Xenopus tropicalis: one gene and its partners. The protein of the gene in region 1 interacts with the protein of each later gene in a pairwise test. Links are inferred from orthologs where the notes say so. Each region holds a gene or a part of one and is shown in the gene's direction. Other genes may lie near its edges. The genes, in order: mad1l1, cchcr1, bag5, mfap1, lgalsl, usp15 and tex11.

Region 1 (4,218 bases):
AAAGTGCAGCCTCCGTTGTCTCACACCTTACTATCTATTTTTTTTTTTTAGACAGGACCTGCTTTTACAATGTGCCAATGTGTGTGTACTTTATACATCTTACGAGTCACCACACAAAAAAAACTTGTCCTTTATGATCTTTTAGACCAGGGGTCCCCAACCTTTCTTACTCGTGAGCCACAGTCACATGTAAAAAGCCTTGGAGAGCAACACAAGCACCATAAAAGTTCATGGAGGTGCCAAATAAGGGCTAAGATTGGCTATTAGGCAGCCTCTATGCACACTATCATCTTATAGGAGGCTTTATTTGGTAGTAAATCTTGTTTTTATTCAACAAAAACTTGCCCCCAAGTCAGGAATTAAAAAATAACTACCTGGTTTGGGGGCACTGAGAGCAACATCCAAGGGGTTGGGGAGAAACATGTTGCCCCTGAGCCACTGGTTGGGGATCATGGTTTTAGACAGTCAGTGCTCAGGTTTGGTAACTTTGAGCTGCACTTACTTTAGACTGACTCAAACATGTACACAATTACCTACTCTAGACAATGAACGGCTGCATCAATTAACTGAAAAATTGGCTTGTGAGCCAAAGGGCACATACCGTACTCAGTACAGCCACTTTTCTATTGCCCTCTTCCCTTCCTCTGACAGCAACTATCTGCACAGTATTGTCACTACCTCGTCTGCTGATGCACAATTGCACCATACAGTCAGCATAATACATTGGCAGATTCAGGCCCAGACTGAATGCCAGAGGGGCTGCTGTAAGATATCATAGACATTCACTGTTTAGTAGGCTAGTGTGGGGCCTCTATGCAATTTGAATGCCAGGGCCTATTTTGAGCATCAGTCCAGACCTGGGCAGATTACTTTTTCCACCATGTCTGATGACCCAATCTATATGCATGGTACAAAGATATTGTCTTGATTGTCAGGCCAGCCTGCAATATATTAAAACTGGTTATACAACTAGAACTAACATGATTTTCAGTACTTGTAGGCTGATGTGACACTCAAGACAATATCTTTGTACCATACATATAGGTGCAGCCTTAGTAACCATAAAGGACAGTACTAGGAAGATTATATAAAAGTTTAGAAAATAAATGTATATATTTTTATATATATATATATATATATATATATATATAAATATATATGTTTAAATATATATATATATGTTTAAATATATATAAATATATACATGTATACATTTAAAAAAAAAATAATAAGTGTGTAAAAAAAAAAATAAGTGTATATATATATATATATAAATGACACCCTACCCTCTGCCGATCTGATTCCAGCTCGCTGGTAACTGCGCCCAGTTCTCTATCAATACGGCAACGCCGGCAAACTTAGGGTGTTTACGGTAAATGTGTTCTCTCGCGAGAGTTGCCCAGAGATTGCTGAGAGCGGGATTGTTCATTTCAGGGAAGGGAAGGAGGAATCTGGCGGTGAGTGAGAGGTGCTGTATTGGGTGAGCATGGGCACAGCCGCACAGGTCTCCTGCTCTACAGTTATTGGTGATGTACGCACTGCTGGTGTCTATGTGCAGCTGTATTGCAGGACTGCAACTCCCAGATTCCACCAGTTTCTCAAGTCAGTGTTGCTCAGGGTCCCAAGCTGCTACATTACAGCCAAGTTCGCAGCAGCAGCCCAAAGGGAAGTTTTAAAGCGTGCAACTATTTCCCCTTTGACTTAAAGTGCTAGAAACCACTGGCCTTGGGATCTTGAAGAATGCTGGGAAATGTAGTCAGAAGATCTAGTCTACAGCATGCAGTAATAGCCTATTAGGAGGGCCCCCCCAGCACTTGTAGACTCTGCTTCCTTGGGATTACTTAGGATTTTTGCACAGTTAGACATCTATCAAAGAGCATATCCATAAAGAAGAAGCAGATCCTGCCATTATAAGGGGGCAGTGGGGTGCTTACTGATAAGCGGTTTAATAAAAAATATATTATTAATGTGTTAATGATTTTGATGGGCTCTTTAATGCTTTCATACTTCTTGTGGGTTACATTGGAAGGGTTAAAAGGCTGATGAGTTTTGAGCATGTAATGCTCTACATTATGGAAAGGCTTCCCCCCCCCCCCCCCCCCCCCCCTTCCCAATCCAGAAAGTTTAAGATCCCAAGCATTCTGTGGATATTATATCTCGGGTTTATAAAGGAAATATAGACCCTCAACAAATTATTGAAAAATTGCTCCAAGTGCTCATGTAAGCACTTTTGCCACTTTTGCCTCCATTCAAGATATTAACAGTTTTTCAGCTGCTAGTATAATGAATTTGATTCAGCAGTGCTGGCTACTGGTCATTTTGGCTGCCTGGTTGCAATCAGCAGAAAATTAATTATGTGAGAAGACCAGTGGCTTGTAAAGTTGCTCTGCTTAGAAAATGAAGTGAGCAGAAAAGAGTCATCTGGGGTTGCTCTGGTCATTTCTAAGCACATTGTCATCACAAGATGTTCCTTTCCTCTCTCTAACTTTTCATTTTCATCTGACTGTATGCAGATAGCTAAAATAAACAGCAGGTGGCGCTGAGGTTTGAAATTCATTATATTAGCAATTATGTTTAACATATGTGTCAGGATCCACAAGGGTAACCGTGTTGTTTACGAGGGGTCTTCATGATTCCCCTAAATAATATATTTTTTCCTACAATTAAATATAGTGAAGCTGGCTTTAGAAAATAACTTAGGGCCCCTGAGAAAAGAGCTTATGAATGTAGGCAATGGTCATAATTAAGTTAAAGAGCTGCTGCAGTTACGGAGTGTCAGTATATTACTGAGTTTGTACCATGGTGCAATTACACTAGCACTTTATAGGGTGTAATTTGCATTAAATTTTCCAGTAACAATATTGTTATTATTTACTATGCATTTTTATACCTTATAAAGTAAAATTAGATATGTGCTGTCTATTTATGGTTGTATTTTTTGTCTTTCTCCTTTTAAAATTGAAACTTATTTTGTTAAATTGCCCTTTAGGCGTGAAATGGAAATCTCCCCAATTGCTGGTGTTCGTTGCATTGCCATTATTTATATTATCTGTGCAGAGAATTGCATCTTCACATAGTGCAGATAAAGACTTAAGGTGGCCATACACGGGCCGATTGTAGCTGCCAATATCGGCCTGTGTAGAGGCAGGAACGACGGGCATGCCTGACCGATATCTGGCCTGAAATTGGCCAGATATCAATCGTGCAGGTTATAAGATTTAGTCGGATCGGGGACCGCATTGTTTCGTTGATGCAGTCTCTGAACCGACTGCACCCATTACTGCCAGTGTAATTCGATTGTTTGGCCCCAGGGGTCTCTTAATGTTCCTTGTTAGGTTTTTTCCCCAGCTAGAAACCTTAGAACCGTACAGTCATATACAAACATATTTGTATTCTGGCTACATAATCCACTGACATTTTCCTCCCATTGTTTCAGATCTGCCTGTAACCTGTGAACAGCTAAAATGGATGACAGTGAAGACAACACCACTGTCATTTCCACACTACGGTCATTTAATAAATTTCTTTCTCAGCCATTGGAAGGGACAGCACCTTCTCTTGGTACTTCAACATCTACTGGAGCTTCCCTTCAAATGCAGTTTCAGCAGCGCTTTCTGGTATGTGTATATATATCATTAATATTTATTAATATTATCTAACAGAGGGATGTTACTATGCAGGTCTGTACTAATGTTTGCATTTGACTAAAACTGGGGGCGGTTATAGTTAAACATACCTATTACCGCCCCCAGTTTTAGCCTAAACTAGTCTGTGTACAGGAATTTTCACAACAGACAATTGGCTTATACATAACTTATGCAGTTTGTGTAAGTTTAGCAACGCAGCTGGGCCCCCTTCTGAAGCAGAATTCACCAGTATTCTGAAGCAGGCCCACCAGTACCCTCCATCCCCCCTAATGGCAGCCCTAGTTGGACCACATATATTGGTCAGTAATGTGCAAACTATATAACATTTCTTGCAAAAGTTGTAAAGTTCACATGCCTAGAGTAACTACAGGTCCTACAGACATGCAAAATATATAAGCAACAGTAGTCTGTCCTCTCAGATCTACAGTTGAACTCCTAATCGCTAAATGGAGGGGACCCATGTTTTTACCTCAGTATCATAGCTCTTGTTATACTACAGCTTGTATTGGGGTTACTTTTGAAACAGCTACTAACAGTGATCCCCTGCAAACAGGTTACATAAGCAGAAAGC
Region 2 (3,500 bases), on another chromosome or scaffold:
TTTACGCTTGCCGAAAATATCCGCCTACGCCTCATCTGCCATTAGCCTAAAGGGTTGCAATGATAAGGAAGTGCCTGCTTATGTAAATGCTGGGCAGCATAAAAAATAATAAGGTTGCACTCACTAACTGTGTGTATTGTGTTTGTTCTTTCTTACATTATTCTGCATTTGGATTGCTGTGAGCGGTCACAAATTGAATAAATGTTAATAGCTCTCCTTGTTTTATGCTCCGTGTGGCATGATGGCACTGAGACTGCAATCAGAGCTAAATAATTCAGTTAATTTATGCAAACCTAAACATGGCTTTATTTTGTAGGGCGTACCCCAGGATTATGAGAAATTTCAACATCTTCTGTCAAGATGGCGTGAGAAGGTTTTCTGCCTCATGGTTCAGCTTAAATCTGAGGAAATCAACAAAGAAGATGACCATAGAAAAAGCAGAGAAAAAGTAAGAAATGGAAGAATGGTGTTGAATGGAGATTGAAAAAGTTGTGTGCGAGAGATATTTAAAAAGCAGTGTGTCAGTAAACAATGCACAGACATTTCTGTGATTGCAATTCAACTCTCTTTTGTTCTTTGTTTACAGTTACATTTTAGCCGGCTTGTTTTTCATTTATTGTAGATCTTATCCCTGGAAAAAGCTCTGCAAGAAAAAGATCAGGAGCAGATTTTACTTTTACACACCCTACAAGATCGTACAGCTGAGCTGGAAATGGAGAGGGTCCACAGTAAAGTGAGTATGGAACCTTATAAATTGGGCTTCATTGCAGTACTTTTAAGGTTAAGGGCAGTGGTTAGTTTTCCAACAGTAAATAATAAAGCTTCCCAAAATTTCAAAAAATGTTCTATTCGGAACATAAAACTGTTTGTGTAGTTCAGTATAGTCATCAGCCTTTATTTGTGTTAGTTTTATGTTTAATGCAGATGCTTAGGGGCTCATTTACTAACCATCTATTTTTTATTTTAAACTCAATTCAGATATTTTTCGACATTTACTATGCATCTAAACGGCTAAAAATCCGAATTTCATAATTTGCCTGATTAAATTTGCTGAGTTCATGTAGAAGTTAATCGCAAAGGTCCCTTCTCTTAAGGTTCTTTCTTTTATTTCAAAACCTTTGAGATTTTGCAGGGTTTTGTATGAAAACTCGACTTTTTCCAAATTGTTGCAGTAAATTTTTTTAGTAAATATTAGACATTTGGGAAAATCAATTTAGTTGAATTTGAAAATAGAAAAAAGTAGAAATTATGGCATTTTAGTAAATCTGCCCCCTTAATGTTTGTTCTGTATACAGACTAGGGATGCACCAATCCTTAAAATCATGTGACTTTTTGTCTCACAATCGTAGAAGCTGAAAAGTTTTCAGCACACACTACATGCGTGGTTCTCTTTAACCCTTCCTTTACCTAATTTACATATTAATTCCGTATTCGTTCAAATCTTTGGCAAAGTATTCAGGGTTCAGCCGGATCCTAAAATAGTGGATTTGGTGCATCCCTGGTACAGACTTGTTAAATAATGCTTTGGGTGGCTAATGTCAATACTTTTGCATTTAACTTGGTCATTTCATCTAGTGCCCCCACATGGCAAGTCACTTGGCTCATTTAATTAGCTTGTGTGTGTTTGTCCAAAAAATCTAACAAGATGCATCTCTTTCTGCCATTATTTGCACATTGCCATAAAAAGCAAATTATGTCTGACTTTACATTCCCGGCATTCCTGGCTCTGACTCCTGAAACAATGTTGCAAGCAGGCTAATTAAAACGACCTGGAGGTCACTAAAATATTGGCCAATAGGTTATCTACTCTAGCCCCTATGCTAATCCACCCTGACCAGGTGGGTTTTATAACAGGGAGACAGGCTGGAGATAACACCAGAAGGGCAACTGTATTACTGGAGGCAGCACAAAAGCTAGGCAAACCTATGGTATTTTTAGGGTTGAATGTAGAAAAACGTTCTATCGCTTTAGCTGACCTTACCTATTTTCCCTTCTAATACATCTTGCCTTCAAGGGCCCTTTCCTTACAGCTATACAAGCATTATATAACTCTCAAACGGCCCAGCTTAAACTCCTGGGCAAGGGTGCCCTCTATCCCCTCTTTTATATGCTCTAAGTATAGAGCCCTTGGCAGCATATATTAGAGACCACCCAGATATTCAAGGGCTAAAAATCTCCTCCACAGAATACAAAATAGCATTGTTTGCAGTCAATGTACTTCTATCAATAACCAGCCCACACACATCACTCCCTGTCCTCCATAGTATCCTTAGCACCTATAGCAACCTGTCAGGATATAAGATCAATATGGACAAGTCAGAAGCTCTTTCACAAGGTATGCACCCCATGACAGCTGAAGCACTGAAAGAAAAATTTGCCTACAAATGGAAAACAGATAAACTTACCTATTTAGGGGTCTGCCTTACACCTTTTATATAGTTCCCTTCTTAAAGGACATGTAAACCCCATACACAAAAATTTAATCAGTGATCAGCCTCTTTTAAATCTTTCAGTATGTGCCACACTGGTTGTCCAGAGGTTAACAGTTAGGCTTTAACATTGCTTCTCCTCCTGTAACCCACTCGGCCCCCTCCCTCAGGAATTTGCTTTGGCTGTTGGCTTGTGGGCATGCTCAGTTTTTCTAAGCTCAGATTACTAAACATGCCCCCAGTCTAGCAGCCAGTGAAGAGATGGCATTGCTGGTTCCCATAGAAACTCAGCTCTAGCTGTCTGCTTCAATTTTTTTTTTTCCTGAGCTCAGCTTTACCTACAGTGCTCAAACAAAGCAGAACTTTTATCAGAGACAGTTCTGCCTGTGTGAGCCTGTATTGTTGATGAAATTTATGCTGCATAAGGGTTTTTGTGTGTGTGTATGCTGTTTGCAGATTTAAATGTAACTGATTATGTATCAGAGGAAAAATGGCCACCGGGTGAAAGCAGCTATTTGCTTTAGGAAAATGTGATGGTGCTGGCTAGCGGAGGGGTATATATGCAGTACAAATGATGCCATTTGGGTGGGGGTGATGTGCCTAACTGATATACATTGTAGGCAAATGTAGGCTTTACATGTCCTTTAAGCAAAATTATTCTCCCTTGATTCACCAAACAAAACTCACGCTACATAAATGGTCAAACTGGTTTGGTCGTATTGCGGCAATTAAGATGAATATCTTACCTAAATATTTGTATTTATTCGAGACCATTCCGGTGACAGTACCTACTAAAATGATAAAGGAAGTTCTAAGTGCTTTGTAGAAATTCATTTGGGGTAATAAAAGGCCTAGAATTTCCAGATCAATCCTATTAACCAATATGTTACAAGGCGGCTTAGGAGCCCCCTCTATCCAAAATTACCATGATGCAGCTCATTTAAGGTGGATATCCGCATGGTCCCACTATCATACAAGCCCCCTATGGGCTAAAATTAAAAACCCATACCTACAGCCACAACTGATGAGTTCCTGGATCTGGACCTCAGGCCCTTATAAGGCCTTCCCAAA
Region 3 (3,342 bases), on another chromosome or scaffold:
AGTTGGAAACAGCCATTAAATGGTCCCTAAGGTGTGTAATTATGTTGCTGGGGGTTGCTGTGCTATCCACAGGGGAGGAGGAGGCATATGGATTTAAGGGTGTGTCTTAATATGACATAATATAATTCTTTCACATATGAATAACTGTTGATATCCCCGCAGTGAGGACCAAGCATTTGGGTTTTTGGTGCACTACCACCATTGTGATAAAATGGGTGTGGTTTGAAGTAGGTGTGGTTCAAAAAAAGGGGAGTGGCCAAAACTGGCTTCCATTAGCGGCCCTCCACCGTGTATGCTAAAGAAATTCCGGCCCTCGGCACCGCAGAAGTTGGACAGCACTGGTATAAACTTTGACTAACTAGCATTATCTTCCCTTTATGTTTCACACCAGATTCACTGGTGTGCTGTGTGCACTGGCCTCAAAATTTGTGTGAGCATGGAAAAGTGTAAGAGGGCATCATGGCCAGTACTTTCTGCTAAACGGGATTCAGTTTTCTACTTAATTTAGCTACATAGTTTCATACTTAAGTTCTATGCAGGAATTTTTGGAGATAGAGGAGGAGAAAGAAAAGTATAACTAGAACATTATTTTATTAAAAACAGTTTAAGAAAAATCCTTCCAGTTTTTAAGTGAAGTGCGTGGGGCATAGGTTTCAATTATATATATATATATATATATATATATATAGCATGTTGCAAGAAGACAGGCACTCACGTATAAGTAGGTCCAAGGGAGCCTGGGTGCAGTCCCAAAATAATAGATGGAGTAGCTGTAGAGAGAGTCCGCACTCACAGGTCTTAAGAAAATATAGAAGTTTTATTCAAATCAACATTATTCAAATCAGTATATATATATATATATATATATATATATATATATATATATACAGTATATATACATGGATGAAGAGATGGTTGTAAGCTCTTTTGGGCAGGGCCCTCTTCACCTCTTGTATCGGTTATTGATTGCTTTATATGTTACTCTGTATGTCCAATGTATGTAACCCACTTATTGTACAGCGCTGCGGAATATGTTGGCGCTTTATAAATAAATGTAATGTAATGTAATGGTTAGACAATACCTGTTTTTTGTTTAAATAAACATGTCTTAGGAATGGCATCTTTACCTTTTTGTTTTTGGTTTTTTTTTTAGCACCAGTATCTTCTAAGAAATTGCTGTATTGAGTATGGATATGGGTAATCAACATGCTTCAGTCACAGCTCTTCAAGAAATACAGAAGAAGGTCAAAGAGATTGAACAACAAGTGGTGACATTTAGTGGTCTAAAGAGTGACCCAACTTATAAAAAGCTTGAAAAAGATTTAACTAAACAGTTATTTGAAATAGAATCTATTGAGACAGAGGGAAAAGGAAACATTCTACAAGCCCAAAAGAAAGCTACTGAAGAGACAGAAAGAGTTTTAAAGGAACTGGAGCAGAATGCAACCCATCCTTGCAGACTTGAGATCGAAAAGATCTTTAGTGAAACTCAGAGTTTGGTAGCGCTACATACTACACAATTTAGTGGGGAAGGTCAGAGAACAGATGAATTTGAGGAAGGAATTCAGAATATTTTGAAAAGACTTACTCAAGTAAAAACCGAGGGAAAGATCCCTCTAAGAAAAGCTAGGTACCGAACTTTAACTAAAGTTCTTGCCATTCAAGAAATTTTAGAAAGCTCTTCTAAACAACAAGTACTTTCTCTCCCTCTCTCTGCTGAGGCACATCCAACAGTTTCTAAAATTAACTCAATTATGTGTGATGTGAACAAAGCCAGATGCAGTCTCATAGCTCTTCTAGCTGGCGTCAATGACAATGAAACATACAGGCATTTATCTTGCACTCTTACTGGATTAATTGCAAACCTGGATGCTCTGGATGTTTCTGGCCACACAGACATAAGAGAGTATCGCAAAGAAGTTGTTAAGGAAATCAACAGTTTGCTGAAATATTTGGATTTAGAGGATGAAGCTGAGTTGGGAAGTGCTTATGACTTGGGCCAAAACCAGTCAATTGTAAAAATAGAAGAGATTCGCAAAGAAGCAGCAAAAATAAAGAACAGTCTTTTAGAAGTGCAGCAGCATATGTCTGACATCTATATGGGTACAAAGTCAGAGCTGCAGGGCCTCATAGCTAGCTTGGATGAAGTTAGTGTAGGGAGGAATCCTTGCATTCGTGAAGCTAGAAGACGAGCTGTAGTTGAGGTCCAAACTGTCATCACCTACATTGATCTAAAAGAAGCTCTCGAAAAGCGCCAGAGTTTACCAGAACACACAGTCTCAGAGCCTCCATGTTATATAGCTGTATGGACTGTCTTTGGACATTTATCTGAACTTCAAAAGGAAGTCCTCTTCTTTGATGGGAAGAGAGCTGATAAAAATTATATGAGATTAGAAGAATTTATTACTAAACAATTGCTGGCTCTTGATGCCATTGATTCACAGGATGGCCGTACAAAGGCTGCAAGAAAACAAGCTGTGAAGCTTGCAAATAATATCCTTGGATATCTTGATATGAAAACTGATGAATGGGAATACTAAAAAAAACACTGCTTTCGCTTTGCTTGCACTTTAAATATGGCTGTAAAGATGTCTCAGTTTCATCCTTGCATTATCATTGCAAGATAGGGTTTTTACTAAGCCAATTATCTGTCATAAAACAAAGCTTCAGTCAAAAGCTAGCCAGTTTTTGTTTTCATGTACCAATGGCGAAAAATTATAGAATGTTTAATGCTAAATATCCCAGTTTGACTTTATCAAGTGGAACAATAAGTGGCATATTTCTAGTTGTATCTCTCTTCTCATTTTTGTGCTGATTCTTAAATAAAAGTTCTGTCTTTTTTGATGGGGGTACAACATTGTCATTGTTATGTACACAAGTGAATAGTATGTACATTTTTAATTATATTGTTCAGTGTAAAAAGGCTGCTGCGTTTAAGGTATCTAATTACAAAATAGACATTGCAGCACATGCAGAATTAAAAGATGTAGTTCAGCTTGATTTCTGTTAATTCCTATGGGATTTTTAGAAGTGTGTTTATCAAATGATGAACTCTAACTTTTACCCAGTAATAAACAGAAATTAAGGGTGAATGTGGGTTTTCATGTATTAAGCTCTAAACTCATTTTTTAATAAATCAGCACCATTGTGTCATTATATATTTAGAGAATGTGCTTCACAAACCAAAATGTGCATCTCGTAATTCTGTACAGACAGCGAAAACATTCTTAAAGCATAGCACATGCTATTCAAAATGGGCAAAAAATTCAAATTGAATAAGGTTTTTTTTTAAAAAAAGATATACAAAAATTCACATTTTATCGCATTAAATCTTGCACAAGC
Region 4 (2,876 bases), on another chromosome or scaffold:
GTTTCCAAGGTTACAAATTAAAGGGGCAGTATCTGTTTTTTTTTTGGGAGGGGGTAGTCTCCCCTGCTCCCCTGCATTTTATCTCAGCATCTTTGCTCTTATTTTCTTGTGACCCACCTGCATTATGCAGCTGCAGGCTGAAAAAAAAATATCTTTAATGTATTTGGGACATTTAAAATTATAGCAACTGTGATTTTCCATATATGAAATGGCTCTCTGCTTGATGTTAAATACCAAAGGGCTTACAGTATGTTGCTGTAACCATTTCAGGAAAGACAGAGTTACTGTGCAGGAAAAAGAAGCTGAGGCGCTTAAACAGAAGGAGCTGGAGGCAGAGACAAAACGAATGGCAGAGGAGAGAAGGAAATACACCTTGAAGGTAAGTATTTGTCTTGATGCAGTGGTAGTTTTGTTAGAACTTTCTGCTTCCTCACTGCAATATTTCATGTACAGATTGTAGAGGAGGAAACAAAGAAGGAGATTGAAGAGAATAAGCGATCCCTGGCAGCCCTTGATGCCCTCAACACAGATGATGAGAATGATGAAGAGGAATATGAAGCCTGGAAAGTAAGAGAGTTAAAGCGCATCAAGCGAGACCGAGAAGAAAGAGAGGCGTAAGTATTTCTATCCCGACTCTATGGATAAAGTCATACTGTACGGCTCATTTACTGCTTGCCATGGTTTCTTTACACTTTGGATAATACTGATAACTTTCACAGTTTACCTGGACTTGTGTGCCTAAAGTTAAATGTTATTTTGTTTATGTGTCATGTAACAGGATGGAGAAGGAAAAGGCAGAGGTTGATCGTCTGCGTAACATGACAGATGAGGAAAGACGGGCAGAGCTGCGTGCAAACGGCAAAATAATAACCAACAAGGCACTGAAGGGGAAATACAAATTTCTGCAAAAATATTACCACAGAGGTGCATTCTTCATGGTAAGAACTATTTAACTAATTTACCCATTCTATATTCATTCCTGTGGGATTTTTAAAAGAGTAAATGTTAGAATTCACCATTTGATAAATTTGCTTCTAAAAATCTGATATTATGGAAATTGGTGAATTTTTCTGTGGTGAGCTCGGTACTCTCACATTTTGATAAATTTTGATGAATTTTACAGAAGCTTATTTTACAGAAAGCTTTGTCTTTTTTTTCCCCCCATAGGATGGAGATGAAGATGTATATAAAAGGGATTTCAGTGCACCCACCTTGGAGGATCATTTTAATAAGACTATATTGCCCAAGGTCATGCAGGTAATTGCAAGAATGTTGCCGTTTCTTACTTTTTTTTGCTCTGCCTGAATTCTAAAGTATTAGATTGATTCCCTGTTTTACTGGGCCACACAAAAATGTGTATTATCACAGTATAGGAGGGATACTGGATGTGATTAGGAAGGTGGTAGTGAACAATGAAGAGTTAGCAAAGTCTAAAACTGCCAGCCATCAGTAACACTGTTATAAAATATATGCAGGAGGGAAAACATTATGCATTCACCCCTTAATGTTTCCATTACATAAATACAATGGAATATTTTTCCAAAAGCAAGAAACTGAAGTGTTTGTTTTCTAGTGATTCTATATATAAAGCAAACAAAATTGCTTGGGAGATGTTAGTCAACTGGAAATTATGGAGCAAAATGGTTATAAATATTAAACTGTCCTTTTTTGTCAAAATTTTCATTTCCAGTAGCTGTGAAATCCTCTGCTAGTCCCCACACAATAGCCCAATATATCTTAAACATGTCCTTAATTTGCACTGGCTACAATTTACTTATGCCATTTATGTTGGGTTCATAGCATGGAAGATTTTAATCTGTGGTTTTCCAATCCAGTTCATAAATTGATATCATCTGTTTTATTCAGGTCAAGAATTTTGGACGTTCAGGTCGGACAAAATATACTCACTTGGTTGATCAGGACACCACTTCATTTGACTCTGCTTGGGGTCAGGACAATCCACAGAACACAAAGTTCTTCAAACAGAAGGCAGCAGGAGTAAGGGATGTGTTTGAGAGGCCGACTGTGCAGAAAAGAAAGACATAAATGTCCGTGTCTATGAGGGACTTGTCCATATTTTCTGGGTTATAAAAAGAACTGCAGCTCATAAACAAGGACCACCATTACTTGCACATACTCTGTATATATAATTTGCAAGTAATGTAATGTTTTTTTTTTTAATGTGTGAATGAATTGTTGGGTTTGTCATTAGCAAATCACAAAGCATTCTCCAAGCTGTGGAGAAACAGAGATTTTCACAGTTTTTTCAAAAATGTTATAAAAGGTATTTTTTAGTTAGAATCATTTTGACATTCAGGAACACTGAAACCGAGGCAAGATTTGATAATATTTGTAAATAAAAAAGTTACTCTGTCATATCTCCTAACGATTTTTGTATGCCCCTCTATCAATCCTGTGAAATAATTGTTTTGCTTGTACAGTAATGAAAGCCACTGGTCCATTTTCTCATGTCCAGCATTCAGCATCTTGTGTGGATTGGTCTGATGTACAGGTATCTGTCTATGCAAGACCTTTTATTGTCCCACATGCTATCTGCTGACTGGAAAGTAAGCACAGTACAAGTGACAAAGAGTTGCCTGGGTACGTAGTTTTATAATGAAAAGTGAATTTGGGTTGGCTTCATGCATTATAGTTACATGGTCAGTCATATACAGATCTGCTGTTAAACTTTTTGGGGCAAAATATCTGAAATTTTGAAAATCTTTCCACCCAGGCATATAGTCAATAATATTATTATTTATTTTTAACATTTATTTAAAACACGCCAACATATTCTGCAGTGCTGTACAATAAGTGGGTTTCATACATTGGACACACAGAGTAACATATAAAGCAATCATGAGTCCCTGTCTCAG
Region 5 (4,155 bases), on another chromosome or scaffold:
AGTACGTAACAGTGTTGTTATTGCAACCTGGGGTTTTTATGTTTATGAATTATTTTTACTAAGCCTTTAGACACGTTTCTGGTAGTTTCTTAACGCCAACCCCCACACCTGCCAGGAAAAGGTATGGTAGAAGGTATGAATAAGGCCCTGCAAATCTCAGCCTCTTCCCACCTTATTTCTTAAATCATTGGGACATGGCTCCTGGACTTGTTTGCTGCTACTTTCCTGTATGTCTTATTATTCTGCCCAGTCCTGTATGGCGTGTCTGTCTGCTACTTTTACTTTACATTTCTGCATATCCAGTTCTTGCCAGTCCCTTTTCTTGCTTTACAGCCCAGGTCTAGTAATCCCTCTGTTGCCCCTGTTATTACCCCTGGACCTCTGCCTTTAGGCATTCAACTCTTTTTAAAGGTAGGAATGTTAGCCACCCTAACTATCTATTCATTTAACCCTAGACTTGTTGACTCTAAAGCCTTGTAAAAATGCAAATATTTCAGAAACCACTGAAAACAGAAAATAAATAAAACTTACAGATGTGCTCAGAGAAGCACTCTAAATATGTTTAAATAAATTCAGTTTTTTGGGTGTAGTTCCCCTTTAATACTTGTGCAAGGCTCAGCCTATCATGGGTTGCAATGCACTATTATTTTATAGTTTGAAATATGTATTACTATTATTATTCTACTGAGCTGCTACCAGCTCCGTCTGTTTAATGAGGTAGAACCAGTAGTGCAGAGAATATAAACATACATTGCTTTCTATATTACATTTACAAATAACTTTAGGAGCATTGACATTGTTCAGTTTGTATATAGGGAAGCTTTGAGACCTGTTTTGCTTATGATTGACTGGGTTTAGTTTTGCTAATGTACAAATAATGGTAACAGCCAGAAAAAGGCCAAATTATAAGGCAGTGAATTTAACGCTATGGGATTATTACCTATAGTATGGCAAGATGGTGTCATTGAACAGAGCTGCAACTGTAGGGCAGTGTGTATAGCAAGGCAAGGTGGGGTAACAGTAACCTGTTGTTGCACTACTACTAGTGTTTGGGATGTGGGAATTGTAGTTCATTGGAACCCTATATCCAAAACTGGGTTGGGGCACAGTAGGATTCATTTGTGAATCCGCCATACCAGCCCTTCGTGTTTACAAATGCAGAAGCTAGTGATTATCCATAGACACTGCCAGCCTGAGCCTGAGCTTGTCTCCTCCATTCACACACATAGCAACTCCTCCTCCATCGCCACCTCCCCTCTCCCCAGCTGGTGGGAAGGTTTTGCAGTGCCAGGTCAGCCCCGGCTTCCTTCTGTTCTGTGCGCCGGCTGAGCTGGACTCAGACCTGCCCTCCCATCCCCTGCTACTGTCACCTCCTCCTTCTCCCTCCCGGGCTCCAGCTGATCCGGTGCCCCCCGCAGCCTTTGCTTATCCGTGCTAGGCTTCGCTACAAGATGGCGGGATCCCTGGTTGAAAGCGAAGCACTGGTAAGTCATTATACGTCAACATATTATTGCTGATCCATAAAGAATCGGGAGCATACCAATTGAGGGGAAGGGGGGGGGGCAGTGCCACCTTACTGGTGCCCGCTTGGATCCTTTGGCATGCTGTGTCTGACCTGGCCGCCTTGTTAGCTGGCAGACTATACAGTATCCATGAGGGCTGACAGATATTACAACGTGTACTAGTCCCGACTCCCTACAGTAGCACGGTATGTATAGGAACACGACTGGAACAAACCTGCTGCATAATATATATCGATGTGTGGAAAGCACCACCTATTCGTATGTAGAATATTCTCTATTACTAAGTATGGCCAAATCACTGTTAGTCCAATAACCAGGAATCACAGTATAAGAATTGTAGTGTAAATCGGGGCAAGTCCATTCCTATGCACACACTAGGAGCCTGTCAGCTTGGCTTACCGGCTGCTGGAAGGACAGGCACTAGCCCGCACTGCTGGATTGCTCCACTGGGGAAATGGTGGACATGTTGGCGATCATGAACTGTGGGGCCCTGTGACATTCATTCAACAAAAAAGCACCACAGTTTTGGAAAAAATGCATTTCAGTACAGGCAAGGTTTGTAGAGTGGTATGTGCCTGCCAGGGTGCCCTGTCTTGGTTGGGACCTGGCCTGAGGCTTGGGTGGCCACCGCTTCTGGAAGAAATACCAGCTTACCTATATTTTTTATCTTTTGTCACTATGAATACCATTGACAGGGCCCCACTGGAACATCTGTGCAGGCACCCTCTAAATTTCGATTGATGTACTGATATGGAACCTGTGCGCCCATTGAAACCCCACTGGGATCTCGCTACTGTGGGGCTCCCAGATGGTGGTGGGTTTGTTGTTTTTACTGTTACAACCTTGAACTATTTGGTCCCAGCACCTTTGGGTGGCCTTTTTATGGTTAGTCTTTGCCCCCACCTTAGACTTGGCACCAAATGTTAAATGTTTGTAGGTAGGCACAGAATTTTTTGCAGCGCTCTTAGTAAATGAACCCCACGTGTTTCGGACAAAGTATGAACGGATAATGAAATGGACTGACATTAGGCCTCAGAACCGTGAAGCTGTCACAAACAGGACCGTGAGAATGGGCTGTTAGAAAAGAATTACAGCGATAAGTCTCCCTTTATTTACCCACGGATTCCCTTTAATCCCTGGTGTCTCTTGTTGTTCTCTGTCTTGCATTTCTGATGTGTAACCTTGCAAAGCTCAGAGAACGCATAAAGCACCATGTAAAAAGATATTTTACATTCTAAATATTATCCTTGTGTGGAAGAGAAACACACCCTTCATTTGTAATTTGAACAAAAAATGCTGGTTAATCTTTCTTAGATATGTTACTCTCTAACATATTTATGTTTCTCTGTTTATTTTTATATTGTTTGGGGAATGAGAGTCCGATCAGTTAGAGGCTCAAAAAACACAAAATTAGTTTTTTTTAGGCTTTGCTTTTGCTCTTTTTTCTAATCAGCAAAAGCTAAACAAAATGTATTTTGTGTTTTTTGAGCCTCTAACTGATCGGACCTTATGACTGCAGGGAGCATGGCGCTAGCATGAAATGCGTAGGGTTACTGTCTCATTCCCCAAACAATATAAAAATAAACAGAGAAACATAAATATGTTAGAGAGTAACATATCTAAGTAAGATTAATCAGCATTTTTGCTGAAAGAATAAAATGCAATTACAAATGAATTGGATGTTTCTCTGCCATACAAGGATAATATTTAGGATGTAAAATATCTTTTTACATGGTCCTTCAGATATTCAGTTCAAAATTAACAGCAGGGTAATGCTAGTGTCACACAGGGCAATTATAACCTGGCATATTGTAGCATGGTGAAAAGTGCCTGTGGCATTCCTTCACTTGACTGCTGTACTTTCAGAAGTGTTGGGTGTAGATAGACCTGGACACCTCAGAATATCATACTGTTAAGTGGGACTTATTCTGAGTGGTTCTATCAACATTTTTCATTCATTTCATTTTCTGAGCCACTTTTAGGCTGCTGATGCCAGGCTAAATATTCAGTATTAACTGAAAGTGCATAGATGTTTAAGCTTGCTGTCACTGTGACCTTCAAAGAAAGCTGAAAGCCTGGTATTAGCAGATTTATACCCAGACAACTTTTATGTAAATTGCACTTAGAGGGCCACCGTGAATAAGTTTACACCAATTTATGTTTCTTGATCCATTTTAAAAAGCATTGGACTGTTAGCCATGGGAAGCATGCTTTTTTTTTATTTTGAACCACATTGTACCTTTATATAGACTTGCCAGGTTAACCAAAATTGCTCTTTCCATTCATATAAATAAAAACAAATATGCAGATAACCTGTGTCTGTGTATTGTACTAGATATTTACAGAATAATATTATAACGTAAACACTGCTTATATATAGGGCCTATTTTATCTCTGAGCCACACTTTGCTCCTGAGGGAAGGTGTATTTCAGTAGCAGCTGGGAGGGGGGGATGCAGCTGCTACGAGGAAGCTACATTCTTAAAGAGACCTGGTTTGAGAAAGTGCCACTTTAAAAGACCTGATGACTGTTTCTGTATGAGAGTGTATTTACTCTTAGCGCTACGTCTTGCCCTGTATTTATAGTAATCCCCTGGCAGACTCTACATGACATGCCACGTGTTTGAACAGAA
Region 6 (4,197 bases), on another chromosome or scaffold:
TAACCTCTTAGTCAGTGACTTTAGGGTGGCCATATGGGACATAACTGTTCAGTTATTAGGTTGGTTTGAACCAACACACTGTTCTTCAACTTCATCTTATTCTTATGCTTCTTAATCTTCTTTTTCTTAGCACCCCCCATTTTTCTAAATACTACTCCTACAGTTTTAGGGGTACAACACCCAGACTCTACAAACTTCTTCATCCTATAGCGGAGCAGGTTGCTCCAAGACCATAGTGTTAGTCTGTAAGTATATGCACAATTGGATAAGGCTAAAAGGAAGTCACTGAAGAGTGTGAAATACGGAAATTCACTTATTTAAATAGACATGAACGTTAAACACTTTGCAGTGGATTGTATTTATGTGTTTTCACAGAAAAGTGAAGTGAATTTGGTAGTGATTTGTTTCGGATACAAACACATTTGGAGGGGTGATTATCAATATTATATTACTGTATTACGCTATATATACATATACATATATATATTTTTTTTTTCTTTTATCCCATAAGACCTCATCTGGGAAGTCTGGACAGAGGAGGGCGCTCCAGAGTTAAGTATTATTGTTTAAACCAGGGGTCCCCAACCTTTCTTACGCGTGAGCCACAGTCAAATGTAAAAAGACTTGGAGAGCAACACAGGCATTATAAAAGTTTATGGAGGTGCCAAATAAGGGCTAAGATTGGCTATTAGGCAGCCTCTATGCACACTATCAGCTTACAAGAGGCTTTATTTGGTAGGAAATCTTCTTTTTATTCAACCAAAACTGCCCCCAAGTCAGGAATTCAAAATAACTACCTGGTTTGGGGGCACTAAGAGCAACATCCAAGGGGTTGGTGAGCAACATGTTGCCCCCGAGCCACTGGTTGGGGATCACTGGTTTAAACGGAAGCACAAGGTATCTGGAGTGGGCTATACATTTCATTCACACTAAAAAATCATTGTTTCATATTAATTAGACATCTGCCCACTCTAGCCTTTATAGATCACATTTTTGCCTAACTATATTGAAAACATCTTTTTGCAGTCGAAAACACTTTTTTTGCCCAGTCTATTCTACCCACTTTCATTTCTACACTGAACTGTTCCTTTAAAGCTCAAATGTCTGAATTATATTTGGCTGATTGGCAAATCCAAATCCCATATATCTAAGACTGTTTTAAACTAAAGGGGGAGAGCTGACCAAATTTTTGATGAAAAGGGGAATTTTGCTACATATCTTTCTTCACCCTATCTTCGTAATGTATTCGAATGAATCTAAAATATAAGAACACAAGGCAATGTATTACTAGAAGAGTATCATCCAGGTCTATAATAACTTGGTTTTCACTGTCTGCAGCACATCATTCAGCACCTCACACTGTGCCCACCCACTGTCCGACTTCTTCCAACAACACAGCCGGGAACGCGCTTTTTCCCTACTTCGCCTACGTGACGTCACTCCCAGAATGCAGCGCGTAGCTGTCAGTGGAGTAAGATGGCGGAGGGCGGAGTGGTGGATCTGGAGACTCAGAGATCCGAAGTGTCAGCCCTGCTGAAAACCCCTCTCAGAAGAGGAGACACCTGGTAAGCATGAGCGAGCACAGCGGGGAGATGTGGCAGGGGACGCGCTCTCACTTACTAAGCGACGGTGTGAGGGGAAAATGCAGGTTCCAGGCAGTGGGAAAGGTAACGAAGGAGCTTGACAGGGAAAACATCTGTATCATGCACAGCAGCAGCGCAGTGTGTGGGGACAGAGTACCGGGTTTGTCACCTGTTCATTGTCACTCATGTGCTGAGAGCTCGCTAGGGGCAGTCTGCCTCATTCCTAAGCATCTGCGGCCGGTTGGCCACACGGACTCCAAGTCCTGTACTTGTGTAGTTCAGGGGCCTTGGGACGCTTATGACTTCTCCCACAAGCCCACTCGCATACAGTCGCTGTGCCAGGGAGACCCGGCTGTTCTCTGCTTGCAACCCCTAATGTTTGGCCTTTCAAAATATGCTAGAGGGCCTACTTTTCATTGCTGTTATCTGTTTAATTCAGTTTTGAATATTACTGATAAAATATTGCACATAACATGGAACCCCCAAAATACAGTTTTAGATAATAAAAGAAAATGTTATTGTAAATAACTTACAAAAAAAAATCATTTTGATGGTTTTAAACTGCAGCGAAAGCATGTGTGTGCATTTATGCGCTCTGCATATTGCATGTTTAAAAAATGAAGATTGACGATATTCTTCACACAGAAACAAATTTTTCAAGACTATAAAAATGTAAATCAAAAATGAGCAACGGTATCCAGAAAACTTAACTGAGCTAGGATAAATCTGCCCCTACATATGGCTGTTAAATGTTTAGTTTGTTTCTGCTTTAATGATGGTTACCACTAGAAAAAAATCTGAAAATCTTTTCCGCAATTATTTAGCAATGGAAACAACGAGGATAAGGTTTGAGCAACTTGTAAATTCCTCTCATAGACTTGCATTAAAATGAATGCAGTGCTTATTTTTCTCAGACAACTTTGCATGTTACCCTGGTATAGCTGCAAGATTTGGCATAGGAAATAGTGGATTTCATCAGCTGAGAAAGCCAACTGAGGAAAGCTTGCAATGCGTTTATAAATAAGCAAATGTAGCAAAAATCCAGAAGGTCAGGTTATTTAATGGGATCAAATTAAAACTCCTGAGAAGAAAGGCATGAACCTTATTCAGACTATAATAAATTTCCCCAAATCATTGCATTTGATTCTGGCTCTTTGCCTTCAGTGCTGGTCACTGTGATGCTAACTGAAAATAACAGGCCCTTTCCCTGTGCACATTCTTATTTTTAGCTTCCTGGAATCTTGAGTTTCTGATGCTGAAAATGTAGAACAGTTGATGTCCTTAGTAGTTTGTTGATGACAAACCTGTGCCATATGGCTACAGATGGTGTACTGTGTAACAGGCATTGTGATAGATGTCATGTATCAGTGTTACTGTTTAGAACTGTACTTACCCCATTTAGTCCTTATCCACATTTTTCCTTAATTACTGTTTCTCAGATGAAGATTAATTTTTAGGTCTAGTCACATTATTGCTCATAAATGCATTCCTTTTGAGGTCACATACTGGAGGTGTGATTCAGCTAATAGTGTTAGATCAAATTTTATACTGCAGTATAGGTCTTTACCATTACCAAATACTATATATGTACTCACATGGAAATCTACAACAGTATTTTGCTAGGGTTGCATCTGATCAAGTCATTTTGAACTAATGTGGTACCAGACTAAAAGTAATTTGCACCTTCTATGATCTAAAGAATATACTTTAAGAATCTTCATACCATGTAAACATTACTTATAAATAATTTAGAAACCTAAAGTAACTTATTCCATCAGTTTACAAATTAGCATGGTTTCTCAGGGCCCCTTTTGAACCACATCACTGACAGCTGCCAGAATTTAAGTATTCATCCCATATCAAGTACCATGTCAGTTGCATTCTTTGTTTGAATCCCTATGATTTGTGCTGACTTGCAGTCTTTGACTACTGAGTGCATGTCACAAAGATTTAAACAGGAAACAAAATGATGCAGGCCAAGATGTTAGCATCTAACACCAGTACACAACTCTGCACTTCGCTATGTGCTACAGGAGTCACCAGCAGTTGTAACTTATGTGGTTTGGGTGGGGGGCCTGGGGGAAAGTATGATGGTGCTATAGTTAAAATAGTGTCAGCAATCTGGTTTTTAAAGGACATGTCAACTCCAAAAAATATTTTTTGCCTACTAAAAGAAAACATAATTCTAAGCAACTTTGCAATATACATTAATTACATATTTGTAATTGGTTTTGAGTTATTTGTATATATAACTGCTATTAACAGCAGTGTTTGTCTGTCCTTTTCTATTCTCTGCCCTGGTGGCTCTGGCGTTTGAAACAATGTAACCACAAGTCAGCAGATTGACAGACCTGTCTTACTGGAGGAGACTGGCATTTACAACATTGTTTAAAAAGTAACAACCAGGAGTTCAGCAAATGCTGCTTTCAATAGCAATTACATTTACAATGAACTTTTAAAGCACTACTAATTTTTAATAAATTGCTATTGGAAAGTTGCTTAGAATTAAGTTTTCTTTTATTAGGCATAAAATTATTGTCTATTGTGTCTACTAGTGGCTTGCTCATTTAGCTCAGTAGCTGTGATTCAGTCTGCCTGCTTTACTTGCCTTACT
Region 7 (3,500 bases), on another chromosome or scaffold:
ACTGCCTTCTACAGCCTGCAGTTCTTTGGCCCCTGATGTTCCCATACCCAAAGTACCTTAGACCCACTAAATCTTGGGGAAAGATTTAAGAGCAGGCTCCAAACCTAAACATAAAACAGAAAGTTTATACCTGGTCAGGCAATCAACTCCTCAAACAATGTCTTCGGTCTGTTGGTTGCCAACACAGATGTAAAGACATTTCTGTAGTGCTTCTTTTTTATTGCACCATATGATTCATAAGAGTAAATGTAATTATTATAATGAAATCCATTAACCAGAAGGAGCTGAAGTACAGCATTTCCATGTTTGCACTGTTTAAAGAAGAAGAATAATCTATATTTTTGATAAATGTGCTCGAAACAACAACAAGAGATCCTCTGCACTCACCCATTATCAATATATATAGGACATTAAAGGAACAGTAACACCAAAAAATGAAAGTGTATAAAAGTAACTAAGATATATTGTGCTGCTGCCCTGCACTGGTAAAAGTTGTGTGTTTACTTCAGAAAGTCTACTATAATTTATATAAATAAGCTGCTATGTAGCCATGGGGGCAGCCATTTAAAGGAGAAAAGGCACAGGCACATAGCAGATAACAGATAAAACACTATTGTATTCTACAGAACTTATCTGTTATCTGCTATGGAACCTGTGCCTTTTCTCCTTTTTTCCAGCTTGAATGGCTGCACCCGTGGCTACACAGCAGCTTATTATATAAATTATAGTAGTGTTACTGTAGCAAACACACCAGTTCTACCAGTGCAGGGCAACATTGCATTATATTTTTATTACTTTAAAGCTCTTTTATTTTTTGGTGTTATTGTTCCTTTAAGACATTCGGTGCATTAAAGCTACTAAGAAATGCCCTTCCCTTTAAGCAAAACAGGGATTGTTTGTCCATATAAATCATTTAGTTGGTGCTCTAGATATAAACATTTAAACATTTATGCATTAAATAGCACAAAAATCACAAATAAATGAAAAAAAAAACTAAAGGTTGTGTCTCGTATCTTCTTTTTCAGGTCATTACTCAAAAAAGCAGTTGTCTCCAGAAATGCTGAGCCATTTGCATGCCATCTTGTGGGATTATGCAGCCAAATGCTTTGAGGTCTTGTAGCCAGTGCTGTTTTGTTGAATTTCATGGATATTTAGCTTTGTTTTATTAAATGACTGCTGTCTTCCACAGGCAAAGAACTATGCTGAAGCTTTGCAGTGGTATAACTACTCCTTAAGCTTCTTTGCTTCTGGAACAGCTGAACTCAGCCTTGCCAAACTTCAGAGGAACCGAGCGTCTTGCTACATATTACTCAAGCAATATCCCAAGGTTAGTTTTATAACATTACTGCTAGAGCCACAGCTATAATACAGTGGTGTGAAAAACTATTTGCCCCTTTCCTGATTTCTTATTCTTTTGCATGTTTGTCACACTTAAATGTTTCTGCTCATCAAAAACCGTTAACTATTAGTCAAAGATAACATAATTGAACACAAAATGCAGTTTTTAAATGAAGGTTTACGTTATTAAGGGAGAAAAAAAAACCCAAATCTACATGGCCCTGTGTGAAAAAGTGATTGCCCCCCTTGTTAAAAAATAACTTAACTGTGGTTTATCATACCTGAGTTCAATTTCTGTAGTCACCCCCAGGCCTGATTACTGCCACACCTGTTTCAATCAAGAAATCACTTAAATAGGAGCTACCTGACACAGAGAAGTAGACCAAAAGCACCTCAAAAGCTAGACATCATGCCAAGATCCAAAGAAATTCAGGAACAAATGAGAACAAAAGTAATTGAGATCTATCAGTCTGGTAAAGGTTATAAAGCCATTTCTAAAGCTTTGGGACTCCAGCGAACCACAGTGAGAGCCATTATCCACAAATGGCAAAAACATGGAACAGTGGTGAACCTTCCCAGGAGTGGCCGGCCCACCAAAATTACCCCAAGAGCGCAGAGACAACTCATCCGAGAGGCCACAAAAGACCCCAGGACAACATCTAAAGAACTGCAGGCCTCACTTGCCTCAATTAAGGTCAGTGTTCACGACTCCACCATAAGAAAGAGACTGGGCAAAAACGGCCTGCATGGCAGATTTCCAAGGCGCAAACCACTTTTAAGCAAAAAGAACATTATGGCTCGTCTCAATTTTGCTAAAAAACATCTCAATGATTGCCAAGACTTTTGGGAAAATACCTTGTGGACCGACGAGACAAAAGTTGAACTTTTTGGAAGGTGCGTGTCCTGTTACATCTGGCGTAAAAGTAACACAGCATTTCAGAACAAGAACATCATACCAACAGTAAAATATGGTGGTGGTAGTGTGATGGTCTGGGGTTGTTTTGCTGCTTCAGGACCTGGAAGGCTTGCTGTGATAGATGGAACCATGAATTCTACTGTCTACCAAAAAATCCTGAAGGAGAATGTCCGGCCATCTGTTCGTCAACTCAAGCTGAAGCGATCTTGGGTGCTGCAGCAGGACAATGACCCAAAACACACCAGCAAATCCACCTCTGAATGGCTGAAGAAAAACAAAATGAAGACTTTGGAGTGGCTTAGTCCAAGTCTTGACCTGAATCCTATTGAGATGTTGTGGCATGACCTTATAAAGGCGGTTCATGCTAGAAAACCCTCAAATAAAGCTGAATTACAACAATTCTGCAAAGATGAGTGGGCCAAAATTCCTCCAGAGCGCTGTAAAAGACGCGTTGCAAGTTATCGCAAATGCTTGATTGCAGTTATTGCTGCTAAGGGTGGCCCAACCAGTTATTAGGTTCAGGGGGCAATTACTTTTTCACACAGGGCCATGTAGGTTTGGATTTTTTTTCTCCCTAAATAATAAAAACCCTCATTTAAAAACTGCATTTTGTGTTTACTTGTGTTATCTTTGACTAATAGTTAAATGTGTTTGATGATCAGAAACATTTTGTGTGACAAACATGCAAAAGAATAAGAAATCAGGAAGGGGGCAAATAGTTTTTCACACCACTGTATATATATATATATATATATATACATCTTGCCTAACAACAGTTTCTAAACCATCTTTAAAATGGAGATTATGAAAACAGACTGAATAAATCAGCTTTCTGGGGCTATATGATGGGACCAACTCTGAGGAATTTCTGAAACTGCATCTTGCATTTGTTTACAGTACATACCCTACATCATTCCCTTTGAAAAACATACACTTTAAAAGAGCATCTGTCCATGGAGAAATCTCTGCATACCTGGTAAAATCTGGTATTTTTAAGTATTGTTCATATCATCATTTAGTGGCAATGATGCATGGATCACATATGAGTACAAATGTACTATGTTAAAGGGGAATGTAGGAAGGTATGCAACCATTATTTATGAGAAGGGTGCACATGTATGTTGTTATTATTCTGGAGTTTTGTATTACCTTTATCATCTATGCCAGTGCACAAATACCTGCTCATAGCGGTGCATTATGCTCATTTGTCAATGCCTCCCACTGAAACAAAGGGAAACACTGCTTC

Evidence for each region.
Region 2: the proteins of mad1l1 (region 1) and cchcr1 interact in binary tests that used the Homo sapiens proteins (3 or more experiments, as listed by UniProt). The link is inferred for Xenopus tropicalis from reciprocal best matches to the Homo sapiens genes MAD1L1 and CCHCR1.
Region 3: the proteins of mad1l1 (region 1) and bag5 interact in binary tests that used the Homo sapiens proteins (3 or more experiments, as listed by UniProt). The two-hybrid records come from large-scale screens. The link is inferred for Xenopus tropicalis from reciprocal best matches to the Homo sapiens genes MAD1L1 and BAG5.
Region 4: the proteins of mad1l1 (region 1) and mfap1 interact in binary tests that used the Homo sapiens proteins (3 or more experiments, as listed by UniProt). The two-hybrid records come from large-scale screens. The link is inferred for Xenopus tropicalis from reciprocal best matches to the Homo sapiens genes MAD1L1 and MFAP1.
Region 5: the proteins of mad1l1 (region 1) and lgalsl interact in binary tests that used the Homo sapiens proteins (3 or more experiments, as listed by UniProt). The two-hybrid records come from large-scale screens. The link is inferred for Xenopus tropicalis from reciprocal best matches to the Homo sapiens genes MAD1L1 and LGALSL.
Region 6: the proteins of mad1l1 (region 1) and usp15 interact in binary tests that used the Homo sapiens proteins (3 or more experiments, as listed by UniProt). The two-hybrid records come from large-scale screens. The link is inferred for Xenopus tropicalis from reciprocal best matches to the Homo sapiens genes MAD1L1 and USP15.
Region 7: the proteins of mad1l1 (region 1) and tex11 interact in a two-hybrid assay, tested with the Homo sapiens proteins (2 studies listed by BioGRID and IntAct). The two-hybrid records come from large-scale screens. The link is inferred for Xenopus tropicalis from reciprocal best matches to the Homo sapiens genes MAD1L1 and TEX11.

The regions. Positions count from the first base shown.
Region 1 is NC_030685.2:31,040,442-31,044,659, reverse strand, and holds the start of mad1l1 (mitotic spindle assembly checkpoint protein MAD1), read left to right. Parts: upstream 1-1,418; 5' UTR 1,419-1,457; exon of another isoform or gene 1,458-1,480; intron 1,481-1,508; exon of another isoform or gene 1,509-1,531; intron 1,532-3,436; 5' UTR 3,437-3,464; coding exon 3,465-3,617; intron 3,618-4,218. UniProt on the Homo sapiens protein: Component of the spindle-assembly checkpoint that prevents the onset of anaphase until all chromosomes are properly aligned at the metaphase plate.
Region 2 is NC_030684.2:75,158,315-75,161,814, forward strand, and holds part of cchcr1 (coiled-coil alpha-helical rod protein 1), read left to right. Parts: intron 1-316; coding exon 317-448; intron 449-622; coding exon 623-733; intron 734-3,500. UniProt on the Homo sapiens protein: May be a regulator of keratinocyte proliferation or differentiation.
Region 3 is NC_030684.2:98,469,449-98,472,790, reverse strand, and holds bag5 (BAG family molecular chaperone regulator 5), read left to right. Parts: upstream 1-1,153; 5' UTR 1,154-1,187; coding exon 1,188-2,540; 3' UTR 2,541-2,842; downstream 2,843-3,342. UniProt on the Homo sapiens protein: Co-chaperone for HSP/HSP70 proteins. It functions as a nucleotide-exchange factor promoting the release of ADP from HSP70, thereby activating HSP70-mediated protein refolding.
Region 4 is NC_030679.2:107,681,155-107,684,030, reverse strand, and holds the end of mfap1 (microfibrillar-associated protein 1), read left to right. Parts: intron 1-270; coding exon 271-379; intron 380-453; coding exon 454-614; intron 615-778; coding exon 779-938; intron 939-1,167; coding exon 1,168-1,257; intron 1,258-1,866; coding exon 1,867-2,046; 3' UTR 2,047-2,376; downstream 2,377-2,876. UniProt on the Homo sapiens protein: Involved in pre-mRNA splicing as a component of the spliceosome.
Region 5 is NC_030681.2:32,406,962-32,411,116, reverse strand, and holds the start of lgalsl (galectin-related protein), read left to right. Parts: upstream 1-1,355; 5' UTR 1,356-1,451; coding exon 1,452-1,484; intron 1,485-4,155. UniProt on the Homo sapiens protein: Does not bind lactose, and may not bind carbohydrates.
Region 6 is NC_030679.2:62,759,285-62,763,481, reverse strand, and holds the start of usp15 (ubiquitin carboxyl-terminal hydrolase 15), read left to right. Parts: upstream 1-1,397; 5' UTR 1,398-1,476; coding exon 1,477-1,565; intron 1,566-4,197. UniProt on the Homo sapiens protein: Hydrolase that removes conjugated ubiquitin from target proteins and regulates various pathways such as the TGF-beta receptor signaling, NF-kappa-B and RNF41/NRDP1-PRKN pathways.
Region 7 is NC_030684.2:44,799,164-44,802,663, forward strand, and holds part of tex11 (testis-expressed protein 11), read left to right. Parts: intron 1-1,025; coding exon 1,026-1,111; intron 1,112-1,189; coding exon 1,190-1,327; intron 1,328-3,500. UniProt on the Homo sapiens protein: Regulator of crossing-over during meiosis. Involved in initiation and/or maintenance of chromosome synapsis and formation of crossovers.